Danio rerio: one gene and its partners. The protein of the gene in region 3 purifies or fractionates together with the protein of the main gene of each other region. This does not show direct contact. Links are inferred from orthologs where the notes say so. Each region holds a gene or a part of one and is shown on either strand. Other genes may lie near its edges. The genes, in order: pals1a, nf2b and amotl2a.

Evidence for each region.
Region 1: the proteins of amotl2a (region 3) and pals1a purify together in Homo sapiens (affinity purification with mass spectrometry; 3 studies listed by BioGRID and IntAct, counting the BioPlex papers as one, with this or other methods). This does not show direct contact. The link is inferred for Danio rerio from reciprocal best matches to the Homo sapiens genes AMOTL2 and PALS1.
Region 2: the proteins of amotl2a (region 3) and nf2b purify together in Homo sapiens (affinity purification with mass spectrometry; 5 studies listed by BioGRID and IntAct, with this or other methods). This does not show direct contact. The link is inferred for Danio rerio from reciprocal best matches to the Homo sapiens genes AMOTL2 and NF2.

What each region holds. Positions count from the first base shown.
Region 1 is NC_133192.1:35,933,328-35,937,246, reverse strand, and holds part of pals1a (protein PALS1), read right to left. Parts: intron 830-3,919; coding exon 752-829; intron 532-751; coding exon 382-531; intron 287-381; coding exon 125-286; intron 1-124. UniProt on the Homo sapiens protein: Plays a role in tight junction biogenesis and in the establishment of cell polarity in epithelial cells.
Region 2 is NC_133196.1:27,255,261-27,259,179, reverse strand, and holds part of nf2b (NF2, moesin-ezrin-radixin like (MERLIN) tumor suppressor b), read right to left. Parts: coding exon 3,895-3,919; intron 3,797-3,894; coding exon 3,722-3,796; intron 3,642-3,721; coding exon 3,528-3,641; intron 794-3,527; coding exon 671-793; intron 423-670; coding exon 205-422; intron 1-204. UniProt on the Homo sapiens protein: Probable regulator of the Hippo/SWH (Sav/Wts/Hpo) signaling pathway, a signaling pathway that plays a pivotal role in tumor suppression by restricting proliferation and promoting apoptosis.
Region 3 is NC_133181.1:30,490,010-30,494,642, forward strand, and holds the start of amotl2a (angiomotin-like 2a), read left to right. Parts: upstream 1-1,501; 5' UTR 1,502-1,656; intron 1,657-2,314; exon of another isoform or gene 2,315-2,375; 5' UTR 2,376-2,381; coding exon 2,382-3,106; intron 3,107-3,194; coding exon 3,195-3,387; intron 3,388-4,633. UniProt on the Homo sapiens protein: Regulates the translocation of phosphorylated SRC to peripheral cell-matrix adhesion sites. Required for proper architecture of actin filaments.

The DNA of each region.
Region 1 (3,919 bases), on a different chromosome or scaffold from region 3:
CTCAAATGAAAAGTTATTGGGATGTAGCTGCAATGCATCTTTTTAGTCAACAAACGTGCAATACGGACCATCAAAATAAAGTGTTACCCAAAATTGTATTAAAATAAAATAAATATATATTTACCAGGATGTCGAAGACTTCGTTGACATCTTTGCCACGGATTTCCACACCGTTGATCTCCAGGATCTCGTCTCCTTCGTGTAGCAGGCCGCTGCGTTCTGCCGCCCCCCCTTTAACAATCCGGCTGATGACCACACTGTCCATATCATTTCTAACAGTCGCTCCCTGTATTAATAGGCATGTGCACAGTCAATTAAACATGGGTCAGAAGTCTAGTAGGGCACAATAAACTGGGAAGCGGCACTGAAAGAATTCCTTACCAATGGGATGTCCTTGGCTTTTTCAATCCGTACAATTTTGACAGTCTCTCCTCCCCACTGGGTGAGAGTCTCGCTTGCATTGACAGAAGGAACAAGAGGCTCCAGCTGCATCTCTTGTTCAGCCACGCTGTCATGTGCCATCATGAGCGCCTGAAGGACATGGAGAGAGCCAGAGATGATTGGTTACATTCAGGATTAAAGCCACTGTGCTTTGCAGAGCTGACATGAGTCTGACCCTTATGTCATGATATAGAGTTCAAAGAGCCCTTGGACAGGCACTGTGATCTTAGCTATGGGCTTCAGCAGTATAGAGGGATGTGTGTGCGTGTGTGTGTTTGTGCGTGCTTGCGTGCGTGCGATGGAGACACACCTGCATGTGGGACGTTGAGAGCAGGCTGCTTAGCTCAAGTCCTTCCTTGTGTGAGCTGTTTTGCACCATGACCTCCACCTATGCAGACAAAATACGAAAGATGCTTAATTGACCTAAACACATCTGGCAAAATGTGTACAATATATACACTGCTGTTCAAAAGTTTAAGGTGAGTATTTTTTTAAGCACTTATAGCCATTAAGGCTGCAATTATGTAATCAAAAACACAGTAAAACCAGTAATATTAAAAAATAAAATTACAGTTTATGTTATAATATATTATTAATTGTAATTTTATCGCTTTCGTAGCCTTTTCAGTAGCAATACGGTATGCAGAAGTATGCAGAAGGACTTTTCATTTTGTAGAAACCTGGGTCAAGCGCTTCCAGTGAACTGTATGCAGTTACAATATTGGAGCGTTTAAGATCTGTTTTCTTTAAAAATCAATGATCTCCACTGCCTAATTGGTATACAATATAAAGTGGGTCTCTGAATGTACAAAACGCACTGCTTTAAATTACATTTTCCCGCGTCATGTCTTTAAAAATATGAACATTTATTTTACTCCAGTATTTTAAATGGCTATTCTGCGCTCGATATGGGAAGAAACACTAGCTGTGCATATAACATAGTACTCTCATTTTGTGTGTTAACTGATCCTTTTAAAATCAATAAATGTGCTGATTTGACATCTAAGAAATATTTGTTTTATAAAGGGGAAACTTTTCATTTTTTATTCCTAGATGAGTATATTATTCTTTTATTCCTTTATGAATAGATTTTTTAAACAGTTATCCTTTGTGTTATTAATAAAAACGCTTTACTGCTTTGCTACATTGTTAGATTTATTGCATAGTTCCTGAATAACGGCCAATCCACACAGGCTTAAGCATGGGACTGAGCGATTATCGAAAAGTAATCAAAATCTGCATTCAGAATCTGTAATCCATCTAATTTTTTCAGGTCAATTTTTTTCAATTATTTTCCCTACCGCTCTGTTAAGGCTGATTTACAGGGTCAAATGCAAGTGTGTTTATAAGAAAAAAAAGATTGTTGGTTTCAGACAGTGTGTGTTTTAATTTCCAGTTGTAATAAATAATTAAAGATTATAGATAGTATTTGTTTCCTGTAATTATTTTAAAATCAAGTGATGCATCCTTCATTTGGAAATCTCTTGCTCAGGCTTAAGCATGGGACTGAGCGATTATCGAAAAGTAATCAAAATCAACATCTAGAACCTATAATCGATCAAAATTTTCCAAGTCAATTTTTTCAATGATTTTTCTCTACCGTGTGTATAATTTTCTCTACCACTCCTAAACTTTTTCTGGTACTCCTAAATATTTAAAGTTGGGAACACCGGTGTAACAAAGTATAAAAAAAGTTAATTTCGAGCCCTGAGTGGCATAAAATAGTCTTTAAAAATGTCAATATCATTCATCGCAATCTATTTTGGTGCAATATTTCGTACAACAAAAAATAGATATCATGGCAGACCTACACATAATATATTATGCAACTGTCATACAATCCTATAATGCTAAATGAATAGGTAATGATCCATATGATTTCTGCACTGCACCAAACAGGAAAAGATGTTTACTTTCAGGTTATGAATGTAGAAAATAGGCTTCTGACCCCATGATACAAAGCTGTACAAATCCAAAGCAAATGAGAACTTGGAATAAGTTTTGTTGGCAACAAGTGATTACAATCTACCGTGTTCAATCTGATGGAGAACATACAGGAAATTTTTGGAGAACAAAAACAGTATTTCTAAGAAGATCATCAAGCTATGTAAAAGATGTGTCCGCATTTTGAATAGTTTTTAACCTGCCCCATGAGAGAGGCTTTTACTGTGAGAGCAGAGCACAGGTCAGTGGATCTGGGTCTTAATGAATGCTGAGGACAGAGCGGCTCTCTGTCTAGTATTGTCCTGCACTGTGTGAGAGAACTAAAAACAACAACCATGAGTTTATCAGGCTCTCATTAGCACTTCACACAACACTGACTCCAACTAAAGAGCCTTTTCATCAAACATCATCTTCATTTGTGCACATACTTGTTCAGCCAGTGCTCAAATGACTGCTCATAAGATGCAATCTAATCACAAACGGACAACTGATAAATAGGGACAACAATGTTTTAAGCCTTTCACCATGCATTTAAATGGACAGTTTTCCTAGTGTAAGCCCTCATGTGATCAAATGCATTCAAAAACAGCCACAAAAGGCCAACTAACCACTGCCTTCTGATATATTCCTTAAAATTAAGACATGTGTCATTGAAGCATGTTAACCAGAAGGGATTTAAACTCAAACCTAACTTACATTTTACACAACAATGTTCTTATACCAGTAGGGATGTAATGATTTACCAGGAGTTCAAGGTTCAACACTATGGATTTATTGATTTCCTACCAATCTGAGCAGTGGTTGAGATTTTTACTAGCCCTGCCAAAATTTTCACTGGCCCCACCAAAAAAAAAAGTTAATAGCTATTTCTTATATGTTAAATAATGTGTCAAAAATAACGTCTGTGAATGCAGAATTTAAATATTTTTTAAATGTTATTAAATGTATAATGAGCAAAAGTCTTATGCAAACAAAAAGAACAGTATGGAAAATGTGCAGGTATTTTATTGCAGATCTTAATTATTTAAAATAAGGTGGCTGACTTGCCAAACTGACGGCAAACTGTGCAAGACATTGCTTCATTTTTTTCGTTGTTTTGTAGCCACGTAAATATCTGTTTTTAAGAAGTTAAAAACAAATGTTTTCTTTTAGCCTCATAATTTGATGTTGCCACCATGTTGCAGTCTCTTCGCTGTAAAGTAATATGGTGTTTACAACATCACAAAGAAGGTTGAATTTAAAAGCTTAAAAGCACAAACTGTTTCTCGACTCTGAGACTGTATTTGCACGCAATTGACAAATAGTTGCATTAATTAAAAATAAAACTTTAGTGACAAGGCAGCACTGGCGCAATAAAATAAATAAATAAAATAATCGTTCATTAATCGTAATCGAGTTAAAGTGATTTTGATTTTAGGCCAAATCGCCCAGCACTTAATGGCCTGGGGCCAGCGTCAGAGATGCTCGGGACAGTAGACAGGATTGTTACTGGCCCGAGCATCTCTGATGCTGGCCCCAGGCCATTGGGCAGTAG
Region 2 (3,919 bases), on a different chromosome or scaffold from region 3:
TTGAGTAAACAGGTTTTCAATGAAAAAGAATGTTCTGTTCTCTCAGATATCTGTGCTTCAAAGATGAACAAAAATCATATGGGTTTGTGATGACATGAGAGTGAGGAAATGCTGACATAACTGGCAATTTTTGCTGATTTAACACCCTTTATCAAGATTATTATTGATACAAATTTTTCTCTAGTACTGATATCAATGGCCTACCTCCTCTCTGACTGCTCAACAAGCTTAACGGCCAGTTGTTCTGCTTCTCTCATCTTTTGCTCCATCAGCCTCTTCTCTTCTTTGGTTTTAAGAGCCGTGACCTCCAGCCTCTGCCTCTCCTGTTCAGCCTCAGCCGCTTTGTGGGCCAGCAGCTTGGCCTCCTCCTCAGCGATCTGGGCTTTCTCCGCCAGAAGATCGGCTGTTTCCTCAGAGCGCAGCTGCAGAAAGGAAAAAGCGATAAGAAAGACTTACAGACTCAAGCACAGGGAGTTTCACAACCTGACTGGAATTCTAATGGGAGCCCAGGACAATGGTTTAGACCTCAATATGTCTGCAGTTCATCTCAAATTTACGTCTGGACCACATACTTCTATACTTCAGGGCCTTTGAGGACATAAAACACAAGCTGGCGGGGGAAAGAAAGCTATTTGGCATCGCTCAATTTCAATCTTGGCAAAATCCTCACTAGAGCTTCATTGGCCATTCGAGCCTCGTCTTGCAGCTGAAACATACGCCGCTCCATCTCTTCTTTCGCTCGCTCTGCTTCCTCTCTCATCTGCTTCTCCCGTGCAAGAATCTGACGTTCAACCTAGACACACAGCATAAATCAAAGGCAGACATTAGAAAAAAGAGAATGCTGAATGAGAAACATTTTAATATAAATCTTCAAAATGATTTTTAGTCTTAGTCTTTTGAATAAAATTCCAATTTAGTTTTAGGCATATTTTAGTCTTCTGAATCATTTTAGTTTTAGTCTAGTTTTAGTTTTAATTTATAATATTTAGGTTGACTAAATCTACTCAAGATAGATTTGATCAAATACATTTGGTTTAATTTAAGTGTGATTGTAGCTACCCGCAGGTTATTAAACAGTCCACGCTTCCCAAATACAGATAGCCATGCATTTTATTTATTGAACATTGTGAAAACTAAAAAGATAAACAAACAAACCAAATGTTTCACACAATCACAATCAAAATAAACAAATAATAAACAAAATGTTTACCGTTATAATGTTTACCGTGTTGGCCTGATAACCAGCAGTGGAATAATCAGGAGCATTTAACATGTGTCTGCATTGAGATCTCACTATGCTGTCCATACCAACTCTTGCAGGGTACATCAATCAAAGAGGATCGTGTGACCTCTGACTCAAGCCAACCGGAAACAAGGAAGTTTATAAAATAAACAAACTAATACACTTTATTTTTTTTAATTACACTAATTGTTCTGTAAATCTGTACTGTTTATTTATGCTCAATATATGTTGTCACAAATACAATATATTTACAATATACTCCTTTTATTCAAAGCTGAATTTTCACAGCTTCTTAATACCTTTGAAATAAAAAAAATTGTTTCAGGACTCTTTAAAACAAGTATTAATTGTAAAATAAATGGTACTGGCCAAAATAACATCTTTAACAAATGAAACATGTACTGCATGATAGGGCTGTGCAATAAAGACAAAATAATCATATTGCGATTTTTTTGAACGAATATTGTGATTGCGATTTTATTTGTGATTTTGGCAACTGTTTTTGCTTTTGCAAACAAGCAACATACATACATTCTATATGTATTCAGTGCACAATATTTGCTTAACAAAACATAACATAGTATTAAGTTTAATAAACAAAACTGTCGTAAAATTGTCTTTAAAACAGACAACATAAAATAAACTTGTTGAAATACACCTGCTCAATTTAATTCATCCTTATTTCTATAGTGCTTTTACAATGTAGATTGTGTCAAAGCAGCTTTACATAGAAGATTATAGTAAATTTAAACTGTGTCAGTTCAGTTTTCAGAGTTGAAGCTCAGTTTAGTTCATTTCAGTGTGATTTTCACTGTTGAAAGTCCAAACACTGAAGAGCAAATCCATCTTATGCGCAGCTCCAGAAGTCCTGAACCATGCAAGCCAGTGACGACAACGGCGAGGAATAAACTTCACCAATTGGAGAAAGTGAAAGAAAAACAACTCTGAGAGAAACCAGGCTCAGTTGGGTATGACCATTTCTCCAATGGCCAAACGTTTTGTGCAGAGCTGCAGTCTAGGCACCAGAGGTTGGAGAACGCTGGTCATCAATCAAGGAGAAACTGCAGGTGGGAGAGGTCACTGGCTGGCGTACATGCTGGCCCTTCAAGATCAATTCAAGGACTCGTCTGTCACTGGGGTCTTACAGGAATCAGTCTCATGCGCTTCACTCCTCCATGACCACCACAGCAGCTGGTGATACAGCCTGGTCCAGGATTATGGAAACCTCGGGAATAACTTGTTGCTCTTCACAAAGCATGATGGTAAAGCTTCTTTAAAACCTTCAGATATATTTTCTCTAGTGTGGTCTTCTTGGAAGAATGCTGTTTGCAAACAACCACTTTTCATTTCAAAGTTATCATTAAAATAGTGGACCGTTAAATAAAGTATTTCACCTACTTGAGCTTGTGTTCAACGCCCGCCATACATTTCGGAAATAGCAAATCGTGTGAAATGAGTGCGAGATGGCAGCTGGTATCTTTTGTCAAGCGTTTGTATTAGTTTTCGGAAGCTGTCTTTACTGACAATGTGCGCAGGCATGATATCTTTGCATATATGATAGGTGATAGCGTCGTTAATTTCTTTGTGCCGTTTTGATCCTTTCTCATAAGCCATGGCGCTTGCAAATGCTTGAACAATGGATACTTGTACAATCTGTTGTGCTTTTCTTTGTTTCATTGGATTTTGTCGACATGCATTGATCATGCAGTTTTTTATGACGCTGTTTTAAATGTTAGAACAGTCTTGCAAATTACCTTGCTCTGTGACACATCCTCTCTTCTGAATCCAAAATACTCCCAATTGACTGACGTTGATTTTTTTTTGCCACCAAATTATTTTTACTTTGACCTGCATCCATATTTTATGTTCTGTCCTCCCGCTACTCTATTCGGTTCCCCACTCAACTTTGTTGTGCACAGAGTGTGCTGGTTAACATCTTTCTCCTGCTCAGCTTATCTGTGATTGTATGCGTCAGCTCTATTTGGTTAAAATTAAAGTCGTGCAAACAAGAACATTTTCTGGATAAAAAGAAGTAAATTTTAAAGTAAAAAGATAAAAATCGCAGCCTAATACGGTTTAGAAATACCATGTGCTTATATTGCGTTTTTTTCACGATTATGATTAATTGAACAGCCCTACTGCATAAGTTATATTTTAATGTTTAAACAAATAAATGTTTACTATATTTCATTGTATATCTGCATAAACATTAAATTCATAAAGAAAAGAATTAATTTGGAGTAACACCACTATGGTTAACATATGTAGAATGGAAGAAAATTACCTTCTTCCTAGCTTTCTCCTCTTTGGCCTGAGCCTTCATCTGCTGCACTTCTATTGAATCCACCTTCCTCCTCCTCATGAACAGGTCATGGTTCCCAATACACAGCTGTAAGATCTAAAATATACAGTAAAAAATTTATGTGAGCAACTACTTGAATATACTTTATTACACAAATACTCATAGAAGTAGCTCACCAGTTTGTTAACTCTAAGCTGGGATGAGTAGAATTTAAACACTTCCTTTTTCTTGTCCAGTGGTTTGATAGTAAACTGAGAATAGACAAATACAGAATGTTTAAATATTTTTGTGAGAGTTCTGTAAAATTATTTGCATATTTTGTGTTTAAAAAAAGAGGTAATCTTTCAACCTCTTTCTCGCTGTAGGAGATGTTT
Region 3 (4,633 bases):
ACGTCTCTCTTTCTGAGGCATGATTAAGGGCTGGAAGAGGATTGCTCTCCATGGACAGCTGGTTGGCAGCATGCCTCAAACACACATACACAGACACCCCCTCCCCACCATCCACACACACACACACACACACACACACACACACACTCAGCAATTAACTGGCACGGGCCACAGCTTAAATATTCACCAGCCCAGAGCAAACAAAAGACCTCAGATTTCATTTATTAATGTGTATTTTCCATATGTATTTATTTAGATTTTCCACCTAATATAAAAAAACATGGACTTGAGCACTAAAGCATTTTGACTTATGAAAAATTTTAATTCAAAGCTCACCTCATGTCATTCCAAAGCCACACTGGCCTCCTTTTACAGAACACAAAAGTAATGAATGCTTATTATTAATACTAAAATACCATTTTTATGATTGTCATATTGGATTACAGAGTATAGAAATTGAGTCGGGGAAAGAGAATATCATCTCAAGGAAAACATTCAGAAAAGTATATTAATATAATATGTACAGTGCTCAGCAAATATAAGTACACCCCTCACAAATCTATCTTTTCAATTCATCTTTTTTTTTTTTTTGGAGGCCTTACAATATTATATTTGTGCATATCCATTAGATAAGTCAGTACTGAAGCCGAATCTGGAGCTGAAAAATATTAAATACAAATTTGAAAAAAGAAGAAAATCAAGAGAAGAAAAAAATTCAAAAATGTATTTGAAATTTTGTAGGTTGCATTTTTTTGCAATATTTTGCTTGAATTTAATTGTATTATCTTTCAGTTTCTAAATATGTTTGGTGACTAAAATATTATTTTAATAAATACATCTGTTTAATAAATCTTTTTCGTTTGGATGCACCAAAACACATTGCCTATATTCACTGAGAAATGGAAAAAATATAGATTTTTATAATGTGGTGTACTCAAGTATGCTGAGCACTGTAACTATGATTACAAGTATTTTTATTTTATTTTGGAAATAATCTTTATGTAAAAATAATAATTCATCATATATAAATATAGCAGTTGAGTGCCTGTAAAAAGAAAATCATCGCTGTCAAAGGTAAACATTAATAAAACTAATCTAAAAAGATAAATGACTTATTGTTTACATACAAAATACATTGTAAATACACATGAGAGAGCTAAAACTTCAAAAGAAAGCGTAGTTACAGATCCCTGCGACTTTTACTGCATTCCTCTCACTGTTAAAAAAAACGCCTTCCAGACAACAAATGCGCACGGGGCTGAGAGTGAATGCAGTTCCGCTTGTCGCGCGCACTGCCCCCCTTCAGCGGCGCGCTCCGCTTGGGGCCGCTCGGTTCTCCGGCGCTCCAGAGAGAGAGCGAGAGGAGGAGGCGGGGCGAGAGACAAGCGGAACTGCTTTTGATCCCCGAGGGACTCGCAGCCTTCGCATTCCGCGCATTCCAGAGGCCGTGAACAATCGGAGCTCGGTCATTTATTAGCAGAGCCCCTCCCGCTCTGAGCTCAGTCTGCTGGAGAAGCTCTCCAGGCGCGCACGCACGAACATACGCATGGAAATATAAGTCGTACTCAACACATTTCCAGAAGGATTATATCTTTAAACATAGAGACGAGTACGGAAAAGCATTGTAACTTTTATTCGTGATGCCACTGTGACTCGGTGAGTTTTTTAAAGACTTCTAACGCAGCTTGTTGTTGTAAACGAACTCTTTATATGGCACATTGCTTAGTTTTCTATAAGAGCGATGGGTTTGTTATTGTGGCTAAACGTTTACTCATTAAATAAACTGCAGTGTGTGCATGGAAGGGCTTTGTTTATAGGCAGAAGCCAACTTTGTTTTGGTGCATTTGTTCTGGAAGAATTTATAATACTTTAGTTGTACATTCTTTAAAGTACACTAATAGAATGAGGAACTAAACGTTTATTTCAAATCTTGTTTTCATGCTTCTTTGGTATGTTCGAATGTTTTACTACAGTTGTGGTTGTAAAACAAATATGATACACTGGATAGGAATTTGTAGTTTGTAGCAGGAAATAATTTGTGCAACTTTGGAAAGTTGTTGGATTCTAACTGAATTTTCCATTGCTTCCTATGCTAATCAATAGTATAAACTTGAGCAGAAACCCAGCTCATAGTGGGTGTTGTAGGATGGTGCCATTGGTATTTTGGGTGAACGTGGTGTTGCTATGGGTAAAGGCAGTCAGCCTAGAAGCATGTGGAGTGAGGCACCACTCACTGGTTTGTTGTTAGAGAGTGTTTCAATATAGCTGAACAATAGAAAGGATTTGCATTTGAAATATTTATTTTTTTATGCAGGTTCACAGTCTAGAAGATCTTTCATAACACAGTATCACTGATTGCTGTCTGTTAAACATAGACTGAAATGAGAACGGCAGAGGAATCATCAGGAACGGTGCTGCACCGACTGATTCAAGAGCAGCTTCGTTATGGAAACCCTACCGATCCTACTCTGTTAGCCATCCAGCAGCAGGCTCTGCGTGGAGGCAGCAGCGGTGGAGGTGCAGGAAGCCCTCGTTCATCCTTGGAAAGCCTAACACAAGAGGAATCACTTTCTCCCCAGTTGTCCGCCCGGCAAGAGCCCCAGGGCCAAGAGCACCAGGGTGACTTCCAGCATTCAGAGAGTCCTGTTTGTCACCTTTATCAGCTCCACACAGAGGAGCTGCCTACTTATGAGGAAGCAAAGGCACACTCACAGTATCTTGCCTACCAGAGAGGACAGATAGGGCTTCATCACGGCAGTCTGGAGAGCCCTGGAGGGGTTGGAGGAGCCGAACAGGACGACAGCATGTGGGATGCGAAACGAGAGCATGCACGCTCACTAAGTGAGCGTCTTTTGCAACTCTCACTAGAGAGAAATTGTGCCCATGACAATATTCCCATGAGCTCATCGCATAGTTATCCCCAACTCTCTAATAACCACTCTGATTCAGTTGTGAATGAGCAGTCAGTTCATCAGCCAGACCAACGGGGTCCTCCCCCGGAGTACCCCTTCATGGTCAGATCCCCTGGATATATGCTTAGTCATTCACAGGAACATGGACACTATTATAATGAGCCCCCTCCTGCCTTCCATTCACAGCATTACAGGTAAAATTATATTTTGGTCGCATTGTATATACTGTACACTCTATATGAACATCATGGGTGTTCTAATGTTTATTTTTGTCTCTCTCAGGCTATTTCCAACACAGCCACAAGCACCTCGTCACAATGGCCTGCCCACATTGACCCCTGCTGGCCAGGATGTCAATGTTGGAGGATACAGCATCCCAGCGAACAACTTCCAAATGGAGCAGCTTATTAAAGAGAACGAAAGACTGAAAAGAGAAGTGGACAGCTACAGTGAGAAGGCGGCAAGGTTACAGAAGGTAACAGGATTCTTTGTGTGATTGCAACTTCCTTGCAACCTTCTAGAACTGTGATGTTTTTGGTATGACCTCACATTTTGCCAAGGATGCAAAAAGGCAGCTGTGTCCTTTGATTGTGAACTCAGACATGACCTACAAAGAGTGAGAACAAGAAATCATTGTGCGCTGGTGTCTTCTAGCCTCTGCATTCTAAGAAGATTAGCTCTCTTGCCGTGTAGGAATGCATGCAAGGGAGAGGATCACAAGGACTTCAATTTAATTTGAAAAGGACACATTCTTGGTCACTGAGTGAAAATTCCCAGTAACTTATTTAGCATGCGAAACAACACTGAATTTACCCATGCCTAAAATGCCATGCATTTTTCTGTAATGTGATAATGTCATCACTGAAATACCAAAGTGTTATGGCAGAGCAAGGGGGAAAAACAAGCTTATCTTGGTGTTTGTTTTGCTAAAGTTTATTGGGCCTATTGTGTGTCGTTCAGTGGCAAAAGCTAGATTGAGTTTCAGTGGAATTCAGTCCATACATGGTGCTTGGATTAAAAACTATGTTCTTAAAATATTCTATCCTAAAACACTGATTCATGAACATTAAGCCACTATCATACAAACTACCAAATTTGAAATCCCAGTCAACTTTAAAGGGGAAGGGGGCCTCGCTGGGTTTTTCCTGTGGCCCTCTTTGTTAGGATTCCAATGGGATTCCAATAGGAGCAGATGTCTTGGCTCATCTTCGTGTCCGAGAATGAAGAAGGGGCTTTGGCTAGCCCACAGCTGATGGACTGGGCTGCAAAGCGCAATCACAAGGTCTCACAGCTGTGGATTCCCTGATTCAATGGCCCCTTTCACTTTCACTCTTGAACAGAGCTCCACACGGCACCTTTTGACCTGCTTGTGAACCTACACATGTAGGTTGCATATATGTAGTTTTTAAGTTAAAAATAAAATCCAGAAAAGGGAAGAAATTATAAAAATAAATCAGTGGTGGGGTTTTGTAAGCTTCCATATTTGTTTATTTGGAAAATTTTGTTCCTTTTGGACGATCGCTTTCTCATCCCATTTTCCATGTCATAAATGTCATACAGGTGCATATATTGTGGACTGTTCCAGTCTCTCTGAATGGTATTCCTCCAGCTTGCACATTTCCTTTGTTCCCTGTATTCGCCTTTGGCATCCTGCCCTGTAGGGAGATGAATGTGCGGACACCTGGGACTCATAAGTGTTCTTTTTGGAATGTTGATTCAAT